Cricetulus griseus: one gene and its partners. The protein of the gene in region 2 interacts with the protein of the main gene of each other region in a biochemical or structural test. Links are inferred from orthologs where the notes say so. Each region holds a gene or a part of one and is shown on either strand. Other genes may lie near its edges.

Region 1 (4,043 bases), on a different chromosome or scaffold from region 2:
CCGGCTTCGGGGCGTTCTCCCTCTTTCTACTCAGCGCGCTCGCGCTCTCTTTCCCCCCGGGCGTCGGGGGCGCTCTAGGGCCGCAGGTTGGAGGGGTCGGACTCCGGGATTTGCAGGATGCGGCACACGGCGCGGATGGGCCGCACCAGCTTCTGGGCCAAGGCTGTAGGTTGCGCCATGGGACGCCGAGACTCCGTGCTGCGCTTTGAGGAGGGTCGGGCCGGGGCTAGGGAGCGGTGTCCCTGGAGGGAGAGAAGAAACCGGGCCGGGGGGAACGCGCGCCCCGGTCGGAGATGGCTGAGTGGGGGGAAAGGCCGAGAGGCCGGGGAAGGGGGTCGTGCCTGGAAGTGGGGGGCCGATGCCGAGAGCCAGGAGAGAGGCACCAATGAGGGCGCAGCACCGCGCAGCGCGGCTAATGGAGGGAGAGCGCAGCGGAGAGCGCAGCAGGACCTCTGATCGCCATCGCCAGACGCGCAACTGAGAGTGGGGAAGCTGCTCCGCCGGTTTCCTCCTCCAGCACCCTGCGGGAAACAGGAGCCCGTGATTCGGCGGCCCCGCCTGGGCCTGCCCCCTTCTGAGCCCCGGGGGCTTCCGCCAACGCCCCGGCGATGCCACCGGCTGCGCACGGGGAGAATGAGCCCTTTGTTCCCCCCTCCCCCCGCGGCACCCGGGCGCCTGCCGAGAGAGGCTCCCCTGGGGCAGTGTGCCAGCTTCCCAGCCGCCCCACCCTCCCGTGGGCCCGGCCCGGAGCCTGGCAGGCGGGCAGCACCCCCACTATAGGTGCCAAGCCCGGGAACTGGAGCAAAGGGCGGGAGGGGCCGGACCAGGCCACGGTGAGGCGGGGTGCCCCCCGGGGTGCCAGGGCGGGGCGGCAGGGAGGGGTCAGTGCCAGAGCTGGCAGGGGCAGTCGGGTTCTCACGGGTCAGTGATGGGTGCTACGACCCACGCCAGCAGGCCCGTGCCTGCTGGACCACTCTCTCCCTGTCCTTTCCAGCTTTGGGCACACCCCAATGGCTGGTGTCTTCCCTACCACATTCTTAATCTTCACCTGCCCAAGCCCCTCTTCCCAGCATCCCTCTCAGAGCACAAGGTTACTCGAAGTGTTATGCTTTGGAATCTGGGAGGGCCTGCCGTCTGGTCTGTTCCCTGGTCTAAGGGACTTGATTTCTACCAAGTGTCCAGAGGTGATGGGACCAGACGCATACAACTATCCCAAGCTCCCGTTGGGGTTGTCTGCTGGGCTGCCCCATCCTACTGTTCCTGGTGCTCCCAGGCCCAGCCTGGAGAGTAGCCCATGGGAGTGGCTCCTGGGAGGGAACAGCAAGTAGGAGAGGAAATGGGCAAACAGGGCACCCTCCACCCGAGGAAGCATCCCTGCTCTTCTGCGGGGGTGGTTCCAGAGCGCACACACAAACAGACAGATTCAGACAGACACACACAGAAACCCACACGCCCAACCAGTGCTTCCCTTCCCTGAAGGCACCCACCTCCTGCCCCTCTACTCCCCTGCCTCTCTGTGCCCAGTCCGAAACAGAAGCAATACCACCTACTTCCCCATCCCCGTAGATGGGATGAATTCTGGAGGCCACAACCTGATCCCAAGTTACACCACCATCTCTCAAGAGGGTGTCCATGAAGAGCCTAAGGTCTTTCTCTCAAAAGGGACAAGAATGAAGACAAGAAGCCTTTCACCAACTGTTGAGGACAGAATGGGTACTTGGGAGAGGAGGGCCATACAGCTGAAACTGTTCAGATGTGGGCCTTGTTGACACAGATCTTCCTAGCCCCTCACCTTCACAGAGGCCAAGTTGGAAGGGGGCAGGCTGGCAGGAATTGTTCACTTGATTGAGTTTTTCCTACTCCTTTTCTTATCCATTCCCTTGGGGGTGACCTGACTCTAGTGTGCCATGGAGATGAATGAGGAGGGTCTAACAGGAACTGGAGCCCCAAGGCTCCAGCCTGGCCTCTAGCTCCCAGCCTGGCTCCTGGGCTAGGTGGTGGGCTGGGATTTGCCTGTGGTCCCAATCTAAGTCCCTTGGCCTACCTTAGCTGAGGAGGCCTGTGGGAGAATCGTTGTTTGGGGGAAGGTCCTGTGGCTTGAGGTCTGGAAGAGGCCAGAGTAGAAGCTTGTGCTGTCCAGAGTCCCAGGGGCCTGTGGCTGTCTGCCCCTAAGGTAATAGGGACTGTCTCAGGGGAGCCGGACAGATACCCACCCCCACACCTCCAGCTGCCGTATCTGCCTGTCAGATTATAGTGCCTGGACTAGACCAGAGCTCTCAGGGCAGTCTTCTGGAATGTTCAGGGGTTAGTGGAGATTAAGGTGGGAGAAGTACCACCCGCATCCAACCACATTCCTCATCCTTGCATTACAGCCTGTGCCACAGGCCAGAGTCCTTGTAGCTGACTGCTGTGCCTGAGGATGGAGCATAGCTGAGGACACATACAAAAGACACAAACACGGGGGGGGGGGAGCCACCCACTGTGTGGTCACAAGACCAGACCATGGACCTGGTAAGCTGGCTATCACCCCCAGACTCACATGGGTCCAGTCATAGCCCACACCGACCCCTCACGCACTGACACACATGCTGACACACACATTCCTGCTGACAGGCACAGCCTCACTCACAACCGGCTGCCCTTTCTCCACCCCAGAGCCCCTTACCTGGGCAAGCACAGTGCCCCCTGCCCAGGGGTGGGCAGCAGGCAGGGCGGGGGAAGGAGCCCCGGAGAGTCAGGCCAAGCTGCCACTAATCCGGGCTGGGAGAGGGGGGGCACACACGTCAGAGCGGGGACTGCCGGGTGGAGGGCATCTGAGGACATCCCCTCCCACACACGCGGCCGTCTGGGCACCTAGCCCTGCTTCCCCAGCCCCTCCATCCTTCAGACAGCTGAGGCTGGCCTCCCCCCACCCCACCCCCACCCCTGTGGCCATGCCTGAGGTGGGGGACACGGAGGGGGGGGATGATACCGGGAGAAATCTCCCAGGACAAATCTCCTAGGACCAGGGGGAGGGGACAGGGAAGGGAAGTGTGGAGATACTGCTGCCAGAGCCAGGAGGAAGCTTGGTGGTAGATATTATCCTCTCCTCTGGCCCACCCACCCACATGGTTGACCTAATTCCTCTTCTGGAGCCCTCCTTCTTTCTAGCCCTCCCCCACTGCCATCTAGATTCCATTGTGTTCCAGGCTGAGCTTGGGACTTGTGTGCCCAGCAATGTCAGCTCTGTCTTCAAGATCCCCCAGCCCTAGGCACCAGCCTTCTGCGGTAGAGATCACCTGTTAATGTGCCCCAATCCCAGGTGCTGGAGAGAAATGGGGACAAGAAGCTGTGCAGTTACCCCCAATCCCCTCCAGTGGAGGGCAGTGCCTGCCAGGACCCCCAACTCAGCCTGGGCCAGGGTCATGCGGGATCTAGTGGCTTAGTATGCTGCTGAGAGTGGCAGCTAAAAATACAGCCATGGGTTCCTGTGTGTTGTGACGTAGAAGCCAGAGAAGGGGAAAGTGACTAGGACAATGAAGAGCCACAGGCCAGAGGGACGGTGATGGGGCAAGAGGCTGAGGGCTGAAAGGATGGCAGGAGTTGAGGCAGAGGGAGAAAGGAAGTTGAGAAGGAAGCAGGTAACAGGCCAGGAAGGGTGGGAAAGGCTGAGGAGAAGGAACAGGACCAGGGCCCACAGAAAGGTTGTTCTAGGGACTGGCCTTCATGGGGTCAGGTCCTTTCCAATTTTGAGCCCACCCAAGAAGACAAGGCACCCTGGTATCAAGTAGAGGGTTGGTGGCCTTTGGAAGGCAAGAACATGGCTTAACCCCCACCCCACCTAAGAGGCCAGGCCAGAGGATCAGAGGTGGGTCAGTGACCCTCTCCAGAGGTGGATGGATAGTGCTGGGAGGGGTGTGCCTGGGTGGTTCTCAGAGAGGCGGAGCTGCTCTGAGAGATGTCCAGGTGATACCCAGTGTCCCAAGTCTCAGGCTTACATTTATGCTTGCCCAGAAAGCCTACAACTCGGACTTCTACTCAATTCTTCCTGTGTGGCCTCAGGA
Region 2 (4,114 bases):
CTGGGTTTGGATGAGTAGATTTGCAGCTCTCCTGGGTTTGGGTTTATGTCTCTGCATGGCCACACACAAAACCCCCTTTAACTCATGAGCATCCCAGTTTGGACAGTAAATCACACAGTCACTAAGGAATGTTAAGGACAAATCAGAGAGCAGCAGCTACAAGTGAGGTCCTGCTGGTCTAGAGCAGCTGCCCAGCTGGCTTCAGCCCATCAGAGCCTTCGACTGGACAGCAGTGGAGATGGTGCCAGGGCTGCTGCTCCTCATGGAGCTCTCTTTGGAGGCAGAAGCCTGGCCTGCTGAGATCTGCCTGCTGACATCCCTTGGCAGCCTGGCACTATGCTGGGACACACAGGAGGCTCTTAATCAAATCTGGTTGTGTCCTTATTCCCTCTACCTGCATCCCAAACATCACAGCAGTGACAAGCAGAAGCTGGAGCCCTCTAACCCACCATCCAGCTACACATCAGAATGTGACCCAGGTACCCTGGCCTTGCCATTCTGCATAGACAGCAGCAGCCCAGACGCTGATTGTAGCCAATCCCTAGGATGTAGGGTGAAAAACTGTACAACAGAATTCTCCTGTATTGGGTAACTTCTTGGTCTAGCCCACCAGACCCTAGGCCAGTGGTTCTCAACCTGTGGGTCATGACCTCCACAAGAGGTCGGTCACATATCGGATATTCTGACATCAGATATTTAAACTACAATTCATAACAGTATCACAATTACAGTTATGAAGTAGCAACGAAATGATTTTATGGTTGGGGTCATCGTAATACGAGAAACTGTATTAAAAGGTCGCAGCATTAGGAAGGTTGGGAACCACTATCCTAGGCCTTCCTCTATTGAAGGCCTAAGCTTTGGATACCTGCAATCTGTGCTGAAGGCAGAGGTCCAGGGGGTTTTTGAGGGCTTCCAGAGGGCTCTGTCCCTCAAAGAGATCAGTTCATAGGTAGACAGGGGATGGAGCTGAGAAACGTCATTACAAATAAGCACAACATCCTGAAGCACAGGCATAGGATTGTATCTGGGGAAGTGTGAGGGGTCAGCTGGGCTGCCTGATTCTCTTCCTTTCTCTCCTTTCCCAGTCCCTTCTCCGTCTTGGTCAGGAACCAAGTCACGGCTGCTCAGGAATAGCCAAACCTAAAGCCGGAGCACAGAATGTGATTTCCTACCTCTTTACAGTTTGAGGCAATGTAACTGTGTCAGGCTCCCTGGGTTCCTCTCAAACAAGCTAGAAAAGGCTACTGAGTGGGGGCCCAGGTTACCCATTTCTGCTCAAGGGTCTCTAGTATCTAAAACAAAACCAGCAGAGGATTTCACTCTTACTACCTCCTGTTCTGGCTGCATGCCAGTACTGAAAAGTGTTCCACAGAGATCCACACAGTTCTCTCCAGTGTTAATCTGGGAAAGAAATAGCGATGGTTCCCAAATGTAAAATACCCTTAGCTCACAGAGTTGAGGACCTAGGTCCAGACAACCCCCTCTGCCTCTGAGAATCCACTCTTACTCCCTAGCCTGGGAAAAAACCTTGCTTGCCTTTTCTGCTCCCCAAACTCTCTTCCGATTTCTCCTCTATGCCTGCCTTACTAGGCAAGATGGCTCACTAACACAGTAGAAGTGGATCCAGTAGCTGGTAAGCCTATAATATTGGGATGTACCTCCAATCCCAGAGAACAGTCAAAGTCTCTTCTTGGTCACCTGGAATCAGCCCATGGCCATCAAATAACCATTGATGACACTCCCCCACCCCTGATGTCCATGAAGAAGATGGCCTTCCCCAGGACACTGGGGAAGAGCTGAACTCTGTCCAAGGGAACTTCTGCAATGCTCAGAAAATGCCTGCCCAACTGCTTGCCTGGGCTCTGGCCCCTCTGCTGCTCTGAGCCCAGACAGGAGGCTGACTCACTCACCACAAGGAGGAGCAGGAGGAGGAGGGAGAGGAGGAGGAGCAGGAGGAGGAAGAGGAGTGTGGCCTAGGCTCATAGAAGCAAGGCTCCCCCAGAACAGGCAGGCAGCCTCAGGTGGGTGATAGTGGTCGTGACGACAGTGGATCATGCAGTTCCCTTCCAAATACTCCCTCCGAACCTCACTCACCAAACAGAAACTATTTCTTAAATCCCTTCCTCAGTTTCCACACTGGCCCCTGAGTCCCTCTGGACGTCTGTGGACAGGCTTTTCTGATAAAGAAATCCAGTACACTAGGTCTCAAAGCACCGGCGGTTTTCGAAAGTTAACAAAAGAAAACTCCATTTAAAGGATTCTACTCCACCATCACAGGTGATCACACATGGGCCCAACTGGGTAATAAACAGGCTACTCACACTCCACCCCCAGAGACCTTAGCTACATCCACAGCCAATCACTTGCTTTCTTACTCCTCCATTCCACGCTAGAGCGCAGGTCCGAGGAAGGAAACAAACGCTTGTTGTCCGGTGAGAACTGTCCTAGCGAAGGACTCCTGCGCTGAGCCCCCCAAGCATCCCGGAAGGTGGCTGCCCCCTCTTCAACATCTCACGAACTTCAACTTTCTCAGACCTGGGTGCCCTCTCAGAGTTCCAACCTCATGGCACCACAGTCCGGATCTCAATCGCCAACTTTGCTACCGAAACTTGGTCTCTAGTTCTTGCCCCTGGGCACTAAGACCTCTCGACCCCGGACGCCCGCCCCTGAATCTAATCTCTCACCCTGAACCCGGTTCCCGCTGCTCCCTGATCCTCACCTGGTCCGGCGGGTGGACACGCTGCTTGGCGCTCCCGGCGTTTAGGGCTGGCTCGGCAGCTGCCTTTTGACAAGCAGAGACGGCTCAGCACCTGGCCCCGCCCCGCAAGGCCCCGCCCCCGGACCGCCCTGTTCCCTTAGCCACGCCCACCAGGTCCAGTCCTCTCCTGCCCTGAAACCTTCTTGACTTGGAGTCAACCACTGCACTGTCGCCTAGGAGACCCTGCTTTGTGAAAGGATCCACGACCTCCGGTCACAGCGAGGCGCAGGCTTCTGCCCTACTTGGGGCGGTCTTTCATGATTCCGTTCGTGCAGATCCATGTTTCTGCTTGCGGTGATCCGTGATGTATTCGCCACCTCACCCCCGCCCCGCTGCCGTGGTTCTACCCAGTCTGCTGCAGACGCCTTTGCCAGGTGCGTCACTCGCACCTGAGCTGACCCGGGACCCCGACGCCCGCGGCGCGCTGCGAGGAGCCTTTCTCCGTTCGCCGTTGGGAAATCGCCGGCCAGTTTCTGATGCTGGGCGCAAAGCCGGACTTCACCGGTTAGGACAAGCACAGGGGGACCCAAGTGGACTGGAGACTGGAGTTGTGAGCTCTCTCCTATCCGGCGGCTTAACCACAGCGAGGGGGCACGTTCCTGGCTAACTGCGATCTCATTCCAGCTGGCTTTGCCTCAGCTTCCCGGTTCTCTGCACCCCATCCCCCGATCCTCTCTTGCCATGAAGAACTCAGAGGTTCTAGATTTGGCAAATTTTGCAAGGTTACAGATGTCACACACTATGATTTGCTCCCACCATCACACTTCTAGTATGTCCTTCTCATCCTCCCCCAGTTCCTGGACCTCATCTGGCCCTCCAGACTCTGCTCTCTTTCATAGCTCTGTCCATCCCATCGAACCTTTGCCACCATCTCCAGGCAACAATGAGCCACCATAGAGTGTATTAGTCTGTCATATGGTTTGTTACCTTATAATAAGACACTTTGTATTTATACTGAACAAGAATTTTAGCCACCCAAGCTTTATTCCCAGTAAGTCATTTTATAACAGTGACAAAAGCAAGATTTCTTTCTCCTTGTTCTCCTAGAACCTTTTATTGTCTCCTGACTCCACATTTCCCTGGGTAGGTCCTGGAATAGAGAGAGATTGCTTTCTTACACTACCTTTCCCGGAAGCCTTGAGGGCAGGCAGTGGTCTCTGGTAACTATACTTCAGAGTTAACAGCTTTAAACCCCTCTAGACTGGCTGGGTGGAGGTGGCACACACCTTTAATCCCAGCACTCGGGAGGCAGAGGTAGGTGGATTTCTGTGAGTTCCAGGTCAGCCTGGTCTTTGGGGTAAATTCCAGGACAGCCAGAGTTACACAGAGAAACCCTGTCTTGAAAAACCAAAC
Region 3 (2,427 bases), on a different chromosome or scaffold from region 2:
AGACTGGAGGGAAGCCAGGCTCCTCTCCCATTACCAAACATGGACTGAGCAGTGGATCTAGCAGTACCAAGATGAAACCTCAAGGCAAGCCATCATCACTTATGAATCCTTCTATAAGTAAACCAAACATATCCCCTTCTCATTCAAGGCCTCCTGGAGGCTCAGATAAGCTTGCCTCTCCAATGAAACCTGTTCCTGGGACCCCCCCATCCTCTAAAGCCAAGTCCCCTATCAGTTCAGGTTCTAGTGGTTCCCACATGTCAGGAACTAGTTCAAGCTCTGGCATGAAGTCATCTTCAGGGTCAGGATCCTCAGGCTCATTGTCTCAGAAAACTCCCCCAGCATCTAATTCTTGTACACCATCTTCCTCCTCATTTTCCTCAAGTGGTTCTTCCATGTCCTCCTCTCAGAATCAGCATGGGAGTTCCAAAGGGAAGTCTCCCAGTAGGAATAAGAAGCCTTCCTTGACAGCTGTCATAGATAAACTGAAGCATGGGGTTGTTACCAGTGGGCCTGGGGGTGAGGATCCAATGGACAGTCAGATGGGAGTAAGCACAAACTCTTCTAACCATCCCATGTCCTCCAAACATAACATGTCAGGAGGGGAATTCCAGAGCAAGCGTGAGAAAAGCGATAAAGACAAATCAAAGGTTTCTACTTCAGGAGGCTCAGTGGATTCTTCTAAGAAGACCTCAGAGTCAAAAAATGTGGGGAGCACGGGTGTGGCAAAAATTATTATCAGCAAACATGATGGAGGCTCCCCTAGCATTAAAGCCAAAGTGACTCTACAGAAACCTGGAGAAAGTAGTGGAGAAGGGCTCAGGCCACAGATAGCCTCCTCAAAAAACTATGGTTCTCCATTGATCAGTGGTTCCACTCCAAAGCATGAACGTGGTTCTCCCAGCCACAGTAAGTCTCCAGCATACACGCCCCAGAATGTGGACAGTGAAAGTGAGTCAGGTTCCTCCATAGCAGAAAAATCTTACCAGAACAGTCCCAGCTCAGATGACGGTATCCGACCTCTTCCAGAATACAGCACAGAGAAGCATAAGAAGCACAAAAAGGAAAAGAAGAAAGTCAAAGACAGAGACCGGGACAGAGACAAAGACAGAGACAAGAAAAAATCTCACAGCATCAAGCCAGAGAATTGGTCTAAATCGCCCATTTCCTCAGATCAGACACTGTCTATGACAAATAACCCAATCTTATCTGCAGACAGGCCTTCAAGGCTCAGCCCTGACTTTATGATGGGGGAGGAAGACGATGATCTTATGGATGTGGCCCTGATTGGCAACTAAGAACGTTATTTTCTAAACAGATATGTCCAGAGAAGAAATTAGATATATTTACATGTAAACCAACACAAGGGGTGAGTCAGATAGGCTTAAGAGTCCTGTTGGGCATGGCCTCTACACCAAGCTGGGTACATTTTAAAAGTATATCTAAACCCTACTAAAGGGACCATAGGGTTGGTCGTTCACCAACAAGTCATATTTCTTTGCCAGAAAGAAATGTTAAAAAATACTTGCTTAAGAAAGGGAGGGGGTGGGAAAGGGTATAGAGAGGGAAGGGTGGGAAAAATGTTGTGGGAAATATTCATATATATTTTTTTCTCCCTTTTTCCATTTTCAGGACATGCTTTAAACTCATTTTAGTGCATGTATTTGAAGGGCTGGGCAGAAAATGAAAAAAAGCAATACATTCCTTGATGCATTTGCATGAAGGTTGTTCACCTTTGGTGGTTGTCCATTTGAAGCATGGGCAAGGGAAGGACTTTGACAGTTTTGGACACTTAAAGTTTTGGTGTCTGTTTCTTAGGAGTGATTGGGGAGGGAAAATTATTTTAGCTATTTATTTGTAATATTTTAATCCTTAATGTTTGTTTTTATGCAATGTTTGTTCTTAAATCTATGAAGGTTATGGTTCAGAATGATAGGCAGGAAGGGCAAGGTTTGTTTCATGGTGGGGAGCTTGCAGTTTTTGCTGATGTTGCTGCATCAAGCCCACACAGGCTAATCAGAGCCAGTCTTTGGAGTTAAATAGAAAAACCAAAACTATTATCTTCAGAGGTTTTTCACAGGGTTCAGACATCATAGGAATAATAGGAATTACCTCCCTATGCAGTTAAAAGATTTATCTTTTTTCGTTAAAAAGGAAGGGTGGCTTTTGGGAGTATAAATATGTTTTCAGATTCAATACCCTATGGTATGAAAACCATTACAGAATTAATAGTTCTCCTAGTTCCACATGTGCCAAATCTACATCCCAGCATCATGTTTGCGGGAGAGCTGATGCAATTCCTATGAGCTGGACTCTTTCTCTTCATCACAAGAAAGAGGAGTTCAGACTTCAGTCACTCTACTGTATGCCCCCCGAGAGAAACAGTTTTAAAAAATGCAGCCATAGTTCACTTAAAACAATTTCAAG
Region 4 (3,517 bases), on a different chromosome or scaffold from region 2:
AGAACAAGAAGAAGAAGAGAGGAAAAAAGAAGAGAGTACTGCAGCTAGTGAAACCCCTGAGGTACTGCCCCCACTAGAGCTGTGCCACCAGAATGGCAGGCTGGAAACTACATTTCTGTTGGGTTCTTTCTGTGGATGTTCTCATATGCATGTAGGGCATCACCATCAACAGCAGTAAGTGGGTATGGGGTCTCTATACAAGAGATACTCCTATGGGGTACCATGGTTAGACATAGAGAGTGGAGGGAAGGTGGTGCTCTGTTGGAGCCAGGACACTACATGGAGATGGATGAAAGTTACTTCCCAGATAAACTGAAGTTCCAAGCCTTGGACTGCATATTGTGGCAACTACTCATTTTGCGGTTTGTTTTTTTGTTTGTTTTTTGTTATTGTTGTTTTGGTTTGGTTTGGTTTGGTTTTTTGTTTTTTGGGGGGTTTTTTTTTGGCTCTCAACCTGTTCACTGTTTATTACCCCTGTGTACCAGGAGTGCAGAGTAAACTAAACAAGACCATGTCCCTTCCCTAAGAGGTATTTTATACTAGGAGAAACAGGAAGTGCCTGGAGAGCTGCATCGTGTGTTTTCAGGTGATGGGGCAACTCTGAGAAGAAAGGATTTTAAGGTATAGAAGACAGCAGGAGGACTGAGGGTAGCTTTGGAAACTGACATAGGAGCTGGAATCCCACTTGAGTTACAGGGGATGGAGTCTTCCACGACGAGGAAGAAATATTTTATATTGAAGGTCACAAGGCATTGTGTTATTGCCAGGTAGAGCTGACAGTGGCTTATATTGGTTATAGTTATAGGTTCTCTAGATGTGTGCAGTGACTTCTGTGGAGAGTGTTTGTGGCATGTGTATAGCTGGAACTCACTTTGATGAGAGAGAAGCAAAGAGTGGCTTGTGTTGCTCCAAAGGAAGTGGCCGAGATTGGGCCCCATTGGGTTTGGAGGTGCTGGCAGCATGTAGCAACACCTGAAGCCTCGCATCAGCATGCATGCTCAGGGCACATATGATTCGTTGAATGGTTACAATGTGCCAAGCACTGTGCATGTTGAGCTATGTCTTCAAAAGGACAGCTTTAACAGAGAAAGCACATACCAGGGTCAAACAAGAGTTTGTGTCCTGGCGGTTCCCAAAAACTCCCAAATTGTCCCTATTGTCTGACTTTCTCTCACTGGAGCCTCTACAAATTGGTCTGTCCTTTGACCCTCTCAGTAACCTGGCTAGTTTTTACTATGGTTTGATTTCTTACCCTACTGCAAAACAGTTCCCAAGGAAACTGGAGAAGAGAGGCCATATTCAAAATGGCTGACTCAGAGTACATTGCAGTGGAGACCAAGTGACCAGGAGGCCACTGGCCATGCCAGGCCCCAGAGTAAAGGTAGCCTGACTCAGAACCATTTGTCTGAGCTTGTAAAGGACAGCAGTGATGGCATCATTTGAGGAAGTGGATTGTGGGTCCATCTGTGGGAGTCACTGGTGCACAGCACAGCAGTACTACAGGATAAAGAAGTTCTCTTGGTCAGATCAAATGAGTGGGTTTTTTTTGTTTGTTTCTTTTGTATTTTTGTTTTTGTTTGTTTGTTTGTTTGTTTGTTTGTTTGTTTGTTTTTTTTGTTTGTTTGTTTGTTTTTTTTGGTCTTTGGAGATAGGGTTTCTCTGTGGCTTTGGAGCCCGTCCTGGAACTAGCTCTTGTAGACCAGACTGGTCTCAAACTCACAGAGATCCACCTGCTTCCCGAGTGCTGAGATTAAAGGCATGCGCCACCAACACCCGGCTCTAATTACCTTTTTTTATGTTGTTTTCTAAGTGGTTAATACTCTAAGTTATTTTCATATATTAGGCTCATTGGAGCACTTGAATTGGGGAGTGTATCCCTGTTAGACCTCAGCAAAGTAGTAACAACGGGTTGCAAGGAAAGCTTAGATATGTTCTACCTAGTGCAAGTGTTGAGTGGGACCTGAAAAGTCAGCTGAGTGTGCATGCTTCTCTTGGTGCTGCCCACCATTTGAAACTTCCCCCAGTCTTTTGAAAATTCATACAGATGAGCAGGCCTACCCAAGACAAAGAAGCAGGTGCTGAGCATACAGGATGGAACAACATGGCACTCCTGTCTAGGGAATTATGAGGAGTGGTAAGAAAACTTCCTCTTAGAATCTAAGCTTAGATTCTGAATAACAGGACATACAAGGTGCCAGTCTAGTGGCAGCATGCAGCCCAGGTACATATGGGGTCTCTACAGCCAGGAAATGGATGTTGTTGTGACAGTTTTGCATGTCATTACAGGGCAGTCAAGGTGACAGCAAGAATGCCAAGAAAAAGAACAATAAAAAAACCAACAAAAACAAAAGCAGCATTAGCCGAGCCAACAAGAAGAAGCCCAGCATGCCCAATGTGTCCAACGACCTGTCCCAGAAGCTGTATGCCACCATGGAGAAACATAAGGAGGTAGTGGCATAGTCTTATGGGAGGTTCTGGGAATACTCAGAACCGAGAGGAACAGCAGGCACCAGGCCTCCTGTGCAAATCTTTGGTAGAAGCAAATCTTTGGTAGAAATCTTTTATAGAAGGTGGAACAGTAGTTTGTTAATATATTGTGTGGCTTGTCATCAGTTATGTTCCATCCCAGGAAACCGGGGCCTCAAGCAGGCCCTGCGTGTGGTTAGCCTCCTATTACATAGGAATATGTGGCCCAGCCCTTGGCACAGTCTGCCTCTCTGTGGGGTTAATGCGGCTCCTCCTTTCAGGTCTTCTTTGTGATTCATCTGCATGCTGGGCCTGTTATCAGCACTCAGCCCCCCATCGTGGACCCTGACCCCCTGCTCAGCTGTGACCTCATGGATGGGCGTGATGCCTTCCTCACCCTGGCTAGAGACAAGCACTGGGAGTTCTCTTCCTTACGCCGCTCCAAATGGTCCACTCTGTGCATGCTGGTGGAACTGCACACACAGGGCCAGGACCGCTTTGTCTATACCTGCAATGAGTGCAAACACCATGTAGAGACACGCTGGCACTGCACTGTGTGTGAGGTAAGTCCCATCACCTCCCTCCTGGCCTTCCCCCATAGGTAGTATTCTAGCATTGTCCTCTGCAGCATTGGGTGCAGGTGTTAACATCTGTGCACAACATTGTACTGTGTCTCTCACCATGGGGAACCAGGCATGAGTGACACCCTTGTTGTCCTCTTACCTGTGCTCTTGTCTGCTACAGCTACAGTCCATGTACTGAGGCATCCTGACTGTAGAAAGACACTCCGAGACACTTTGGTTCTACAGGGATCCTGGTGTATTTATCTCTTCCTAGCCTTGCTAAGGGATTAGGGACACATTTTGCCCTGTTTGCAGGTTGGCACCTTTGATGAGGTCCAGTGGCATGATCAGCATGTGATCAGAAGACTTGATGGTCGAGTATGCCACTGGCAGGCTCACTGTCTCCTGCCCCATGGGTAGCTTGTCTTCAGCCATGCAGAGCTTGTCCTGGGCAAAACAAAGGCTGCCTAGCCCTTCCTTCTTTCTTA
Region 5 (3,517 bases), on a different chromosome or scaffold from region 2:
CAGGTGTAAGACATTTTCTCACTTAGTGATCAATGGGGAAGGGCTCAGCCCATGATGTTATCCCTGGGCTGTTGGCCCTGGGTTCTATAGGCGGGCTTAGCAAGACATGGGAAGCAAGCCAGTAAACATCGCCCCTCCATAGCCCTCTGCATCAGCTCCTGCTTCAGGGATCCTGGCCTGTTTTGAGTTCCTGTCCTGTCCTGACTTCCTTCAGTGATAAACAGCAATGCTAAAGTGTAAGTCGAATAAATCCTTTCCTATCCAACTTGCTTTTTGGTCATGATGTTTCATCATAGCAATAGAAACCTCAATTAAGCCGGGCGGTGGTGGCACATGCCTTTAATCCCAGCATCGGGAGGCAGAGACAGGCAGACCCCTGAGAGTTCGAGGTCCGCCTCATCTACAAAGCTACACAGAAAAACCCTGTCTCAAAAAACAAAAACAAACAAACAAACAAAAAACCTCAATTAAGACACTCATGAAGCCATACTTACTTGAATCTTGGCGGCTCCATTGGATCTTTCTGCATTTCTACCATCCGAATAACCCTCTGTTTAGCTCCAGAGTTGAATGCTACTCCTTGCTGAGATGGTGTGTAGCTAAATAGATGAAAATTAAAGGTGTAATTAGTTCAAGCTTTTGGTAGGCATTTATCTTCTATTATAGTTCCACATGACTATACTTTCAATTCTTTTCAGGAAGTACTGACATAAAATCACCATACATTTAGGCAGGGCAGTCAGAAGCAGACCAGAAAAGAAACAGAAGTGAAATCAAACAAAATATGCACTTAAGTGGTTATTGACTTCCCTCTTCATCCTTTCCACATTCCACCTGGGAAATACACCTGTCCAGCTTCCCCAGGTCTAAAACTAACACCTGCTTTTAAGTCTACATTATAGAATAAAATTGCCAGGGCTGAGAGATGGCTCAGCAGTTAAGAGCACTGGCTGCTCTTCCAAAGTTCAATTCCCAGAACCCACATGGCTGCTCACCACTGCCTGCAACTTCAGTTCCTGCAACTCTTCCTCTGGCCTCGTTGGGCACTGGGCATGCAGGCAAAACATACATACATATATAATAACAATAAATAAATGAGTAAAAGTTTTTTAAAGAAAGGAAAATAGTTACAATAGTATGCCCACTGGCAACATGCAATGTATGCTGTAAAAACTGCAGCAGCAGCCCTAACTCAAAATTTTCCCTTAACATCTAGTTCCAATCATTCTTCACAAAGACAGTCCAGTAAAGGCCCTCAACATTTAGCAGCATTATAAAAGTTTATTAAATATAATCAAAAACTATAAACAATTGTCGTTTGGGTCATATACCATAGGTAACAATTATTTTCTAAAAAACTGAAAATCAAGGCGGTGGTAGAGCAGGCCTTTAGTCCCAGCACTCAGAAGGCAGAGGCAGGTTGATCTCTGTGAGTTCGAGGCCTGCCTCCCGAGTGCTGGGACCGTTAACATCTTAATGTAGGGATTAAAAAAAAAACTTCTGGGGACTGAGAGATGGCTCAGTGGTTTGGGAGGTCCTGAGTTCCCAGCACCCACATGGTGGCTCAGGACCATTTTTATGGAATTCAATGTCACCTTGTGTCTGATTCCCTTTCCTGTCCTGTAGGCATACATGCAAACAGAGCACTCTACACTAAATAAATAAACCTGAAAATTAAAAACAAACACACAAAAAAAGCCTTTTGCAAACTAGAGTTGATAGGCTTCAAAGGTCATTAAGACAATGCATTTGAACTGGCTTTGTAAGCTGGTGAGTCTTCAAAATCCCACCTAGGGAGTCTGACATGCAACTAACACTTCCAGCAGGGTGCATACCGGATATACTGAGCAGGAGCCAGCTTGTCAGCTGCACGAACAGGCATGGCTGCAGCAACCTTCTGCGACACAGACTTCTCCAAGGCTACTCTTGTCTTCTCTGTTATCTGAGATGAGAAGCAGCACGGTGAGCAGTTGGAAATTAATAAGGACACAAAGTCATCTAAAATAATCACATACACCAACCCCTAGTTACCTCTTTAATAGCCTCTTCATCAGGCCTTTGCAGGTCTGGATCATCTGCATTCATAACCTCCTTTGGAACCAGGTCAGTGTACTTGCTGTAAATGACCTAAAAGTGTTCAAACACAAGCAGCTTAGGAACACACAGGGTGGAGGGAAGCAGCCTCATTAAGTCGCTGTACATGTCAACATGTCCTTTCAGCATATTTACGCATTTAGGATACTCAGTTTTGTCGTTCAGATTTTAAAACTAAAGGAGCTTAAAATATGTACACAAATTGCTGCCCTGGCTCCAAGATGATCACTTTCCCTTGACCCCATGCATTTAAATTATTTGAAATCTTCTAATCAAGTCAGTATCCAAATACATTCTGCCAACAAAATCTTATGCATCAGTGATCTCTATTTTTGAGGCTCACTAGGACTTGAAATTAATGATGATATAAATTGCCTATAGCACCATTATCCTGGATTAAAAACTCATCAGAAATTTAAGTCCGGTTACTAAATAATTTCCAAATTCACTGGGCCTAGAAAATTCCATTGCCCTCATCCTATTTATAATGTTTCTGTTTTCTGGAATCAATTCTATTCACAAATTAGGAAAGTGAAAATGAACAAAAAGAAAAAACCCAGAATATTTTCTTCTACAAGAGTCAGAAAAAACAAAAATATATTTATATATGTGTTCTAGTTTCATTTCTGTCTGTTATAGCCTAACCAAAAGAAAATCAGGGAGGAAAGGGTTTATTTGGCTTATAATTCCAAGTTAGAGTCTATTATTGAGAGACGTCAAGGCAGGAACTCAAGCGTCTAGTCACATTATATCCAGTCAAGTGCAGGGAGAAATCAATGACTCTGCCGCTTGCTCTCATTTAGTTTTCGCCTGACTCACATAGTGGGGAACCCATCTGCCTAAGGGATAGTGGTGCCGACAATGGGCTGTCTTCTTTTATCAGTCATCAAGACAATCCCTTACAGACATGCCCACAGGCCAACCTAATTTAGACAAGTACTCAACTGAAGCTCCCTTCCCAGTGATTCAGGTTGTAGCAAATTGACAATCAAAATTAATCACCCCAATACGTAAATTGCATCAGGACCAACACCTTCCTTTTACCTTTTAGGCTGATGCTGGTGTAATGCGCTTTTGAAACAGATCATTTACTTGCCTGCTATCTATACTTCCCAAGTACCTCCATTAAAATGTACATGGCAGACTTTAAAGAAAAAAAAAAAAAAACGATACTAGAAATTTTAACCAATAGTTTAGATTTTAATACTTTTATTAGAAATTCTTTGGCACACATACATACCAAGAACAACTTATGGGGCAGGAGAGATGGCTCAGCAGTTAAAAACATTTTCTGTTCTTACAAAGGACCATGGTTCAGTTCCCAGAACCCACGAGGTGGCTCGACAGTCTGTAACTTTGGTTCCAGGGGATCTAACACTTTCTTCTATTATTTTTTATTTTTATTCTATTATTTTTTTTTTCT

What was found.
Region 1: the proteins of Vdr (region 2) and Hr form a complex in vitro, tested with the Homo sapiens proteins (2 studies listed by BioGRID and IntAct). The link is inferred for Cricetulus griseus from reciprocal best matches to the Homo sapiens genes VDR and HR.
Region 3: the proteins of Vdr (region 2) and Med1 form a complex in vitro, tested with the Homo sapiens proteins (5 studies listed by BioGRID). The link is inferred for Cricetulus griseus from reciprocal best matches to the Homo sapiens genes VDR and MED1.
Region 4: the proteins of Vdr (region 2) and histone lysine acetyltransferase CREBBP form a complex in vitro, tested with the Homo sapiens proteins (2 studies listed by BioGRID). The link is inferred for Cricetulus griseus from reciprocal best matches to the Homo sapiens genes VDR and CREBBP.
Region 5: the proteins of Vdr (region 2) and Snw1 form a complex in vitro, tested with the Homo sapiens proteins (2 studies listed by BioGRID, with this or other methods). The link is inferred for Cricetulus griseus from reciprocal best matches to the Homo sapiens genes VDR and SNW1.

The regions. Positions count from the first base shown.
Region 1 is NW_023276807.1:225,197,156-225,201,198, reverse strand, and holds the start of Hr (lysine-specific demethylase hairless), read right to left. Parts: upstream 2,803-4,043; 5' UTR 2,666-2,802; intron 2,169-2,665; 5' UTR 2,045-2,168; intron 522-2,044; 5' UTR 1-521. UniProt on the Homo sapiens protein: Histone demethylase that specifically demethylates both mono- and dimethylated 'Lys-9' of histone H3. May act as a transcription regulator controlling hair biology (via targeting of collagens), neural activity, and cell cycle.
Region 2 is NC_048595.1:394,401,420-394,405,533, forward strand, and holds the start of Vdr (vitamin D3 receptor), read right to left. Parts: upstream 2,804-4,114; 5' UTR 2,723-2,803; intron 1-2,722.
Region 3 is NC_048600.1:111,279,696-111,282,122, reverse strand, and holds part of Med1 (mediator of RNA polymerase II transcription subunit 1), read left to right. Parts: coding exon 1-1,298; 3' UTR 1,299-2,427. UniProt on the Homo sapiens protein: Component of the Mediator complex, a coactivator involved in the regulated transcription of nearly all RNA polymerase II-dependent genes.
Region 4 is NC_048600.1:42,570,958-42,574,474, forward strand, and holds part of histone lysine acetyltransferase CREBBP, read left to right. Parts: coding exon 1-61; intron 62-2,286; coding exon 2,287-2,448; intron 2,449-2,747; coding exon 2,748-3,029; intron 3,030-3,517. UniProt on the Homo sapiens protein: Acetylates histones, giving a specific tag for transcriptional activation. Mediates acetylation of histone H3 at 'Lys-18' and 'Lys-27' (H3K18ac and H3K27ac, respectively).
Region 5 is NC_048598.1:116,339,220-116,342,736, reverse strand, and holds part of Snw1 (SNW domain-containing protein 1), read right to left. Parts: intron 2,128-3,517; coding exon 2,032-2,127; intron 1,943-2,031; coding exon 1,836-1,942; intron 600-1,835; coding exon 495-599; intron 1-494. UniProt on the Homo sapiens protein: Involved in pre-mRNA splicing as component of the spliceosome. As a component of the minor spliceosome, involved in the splicing of U12-type introns in pre-mRNAs.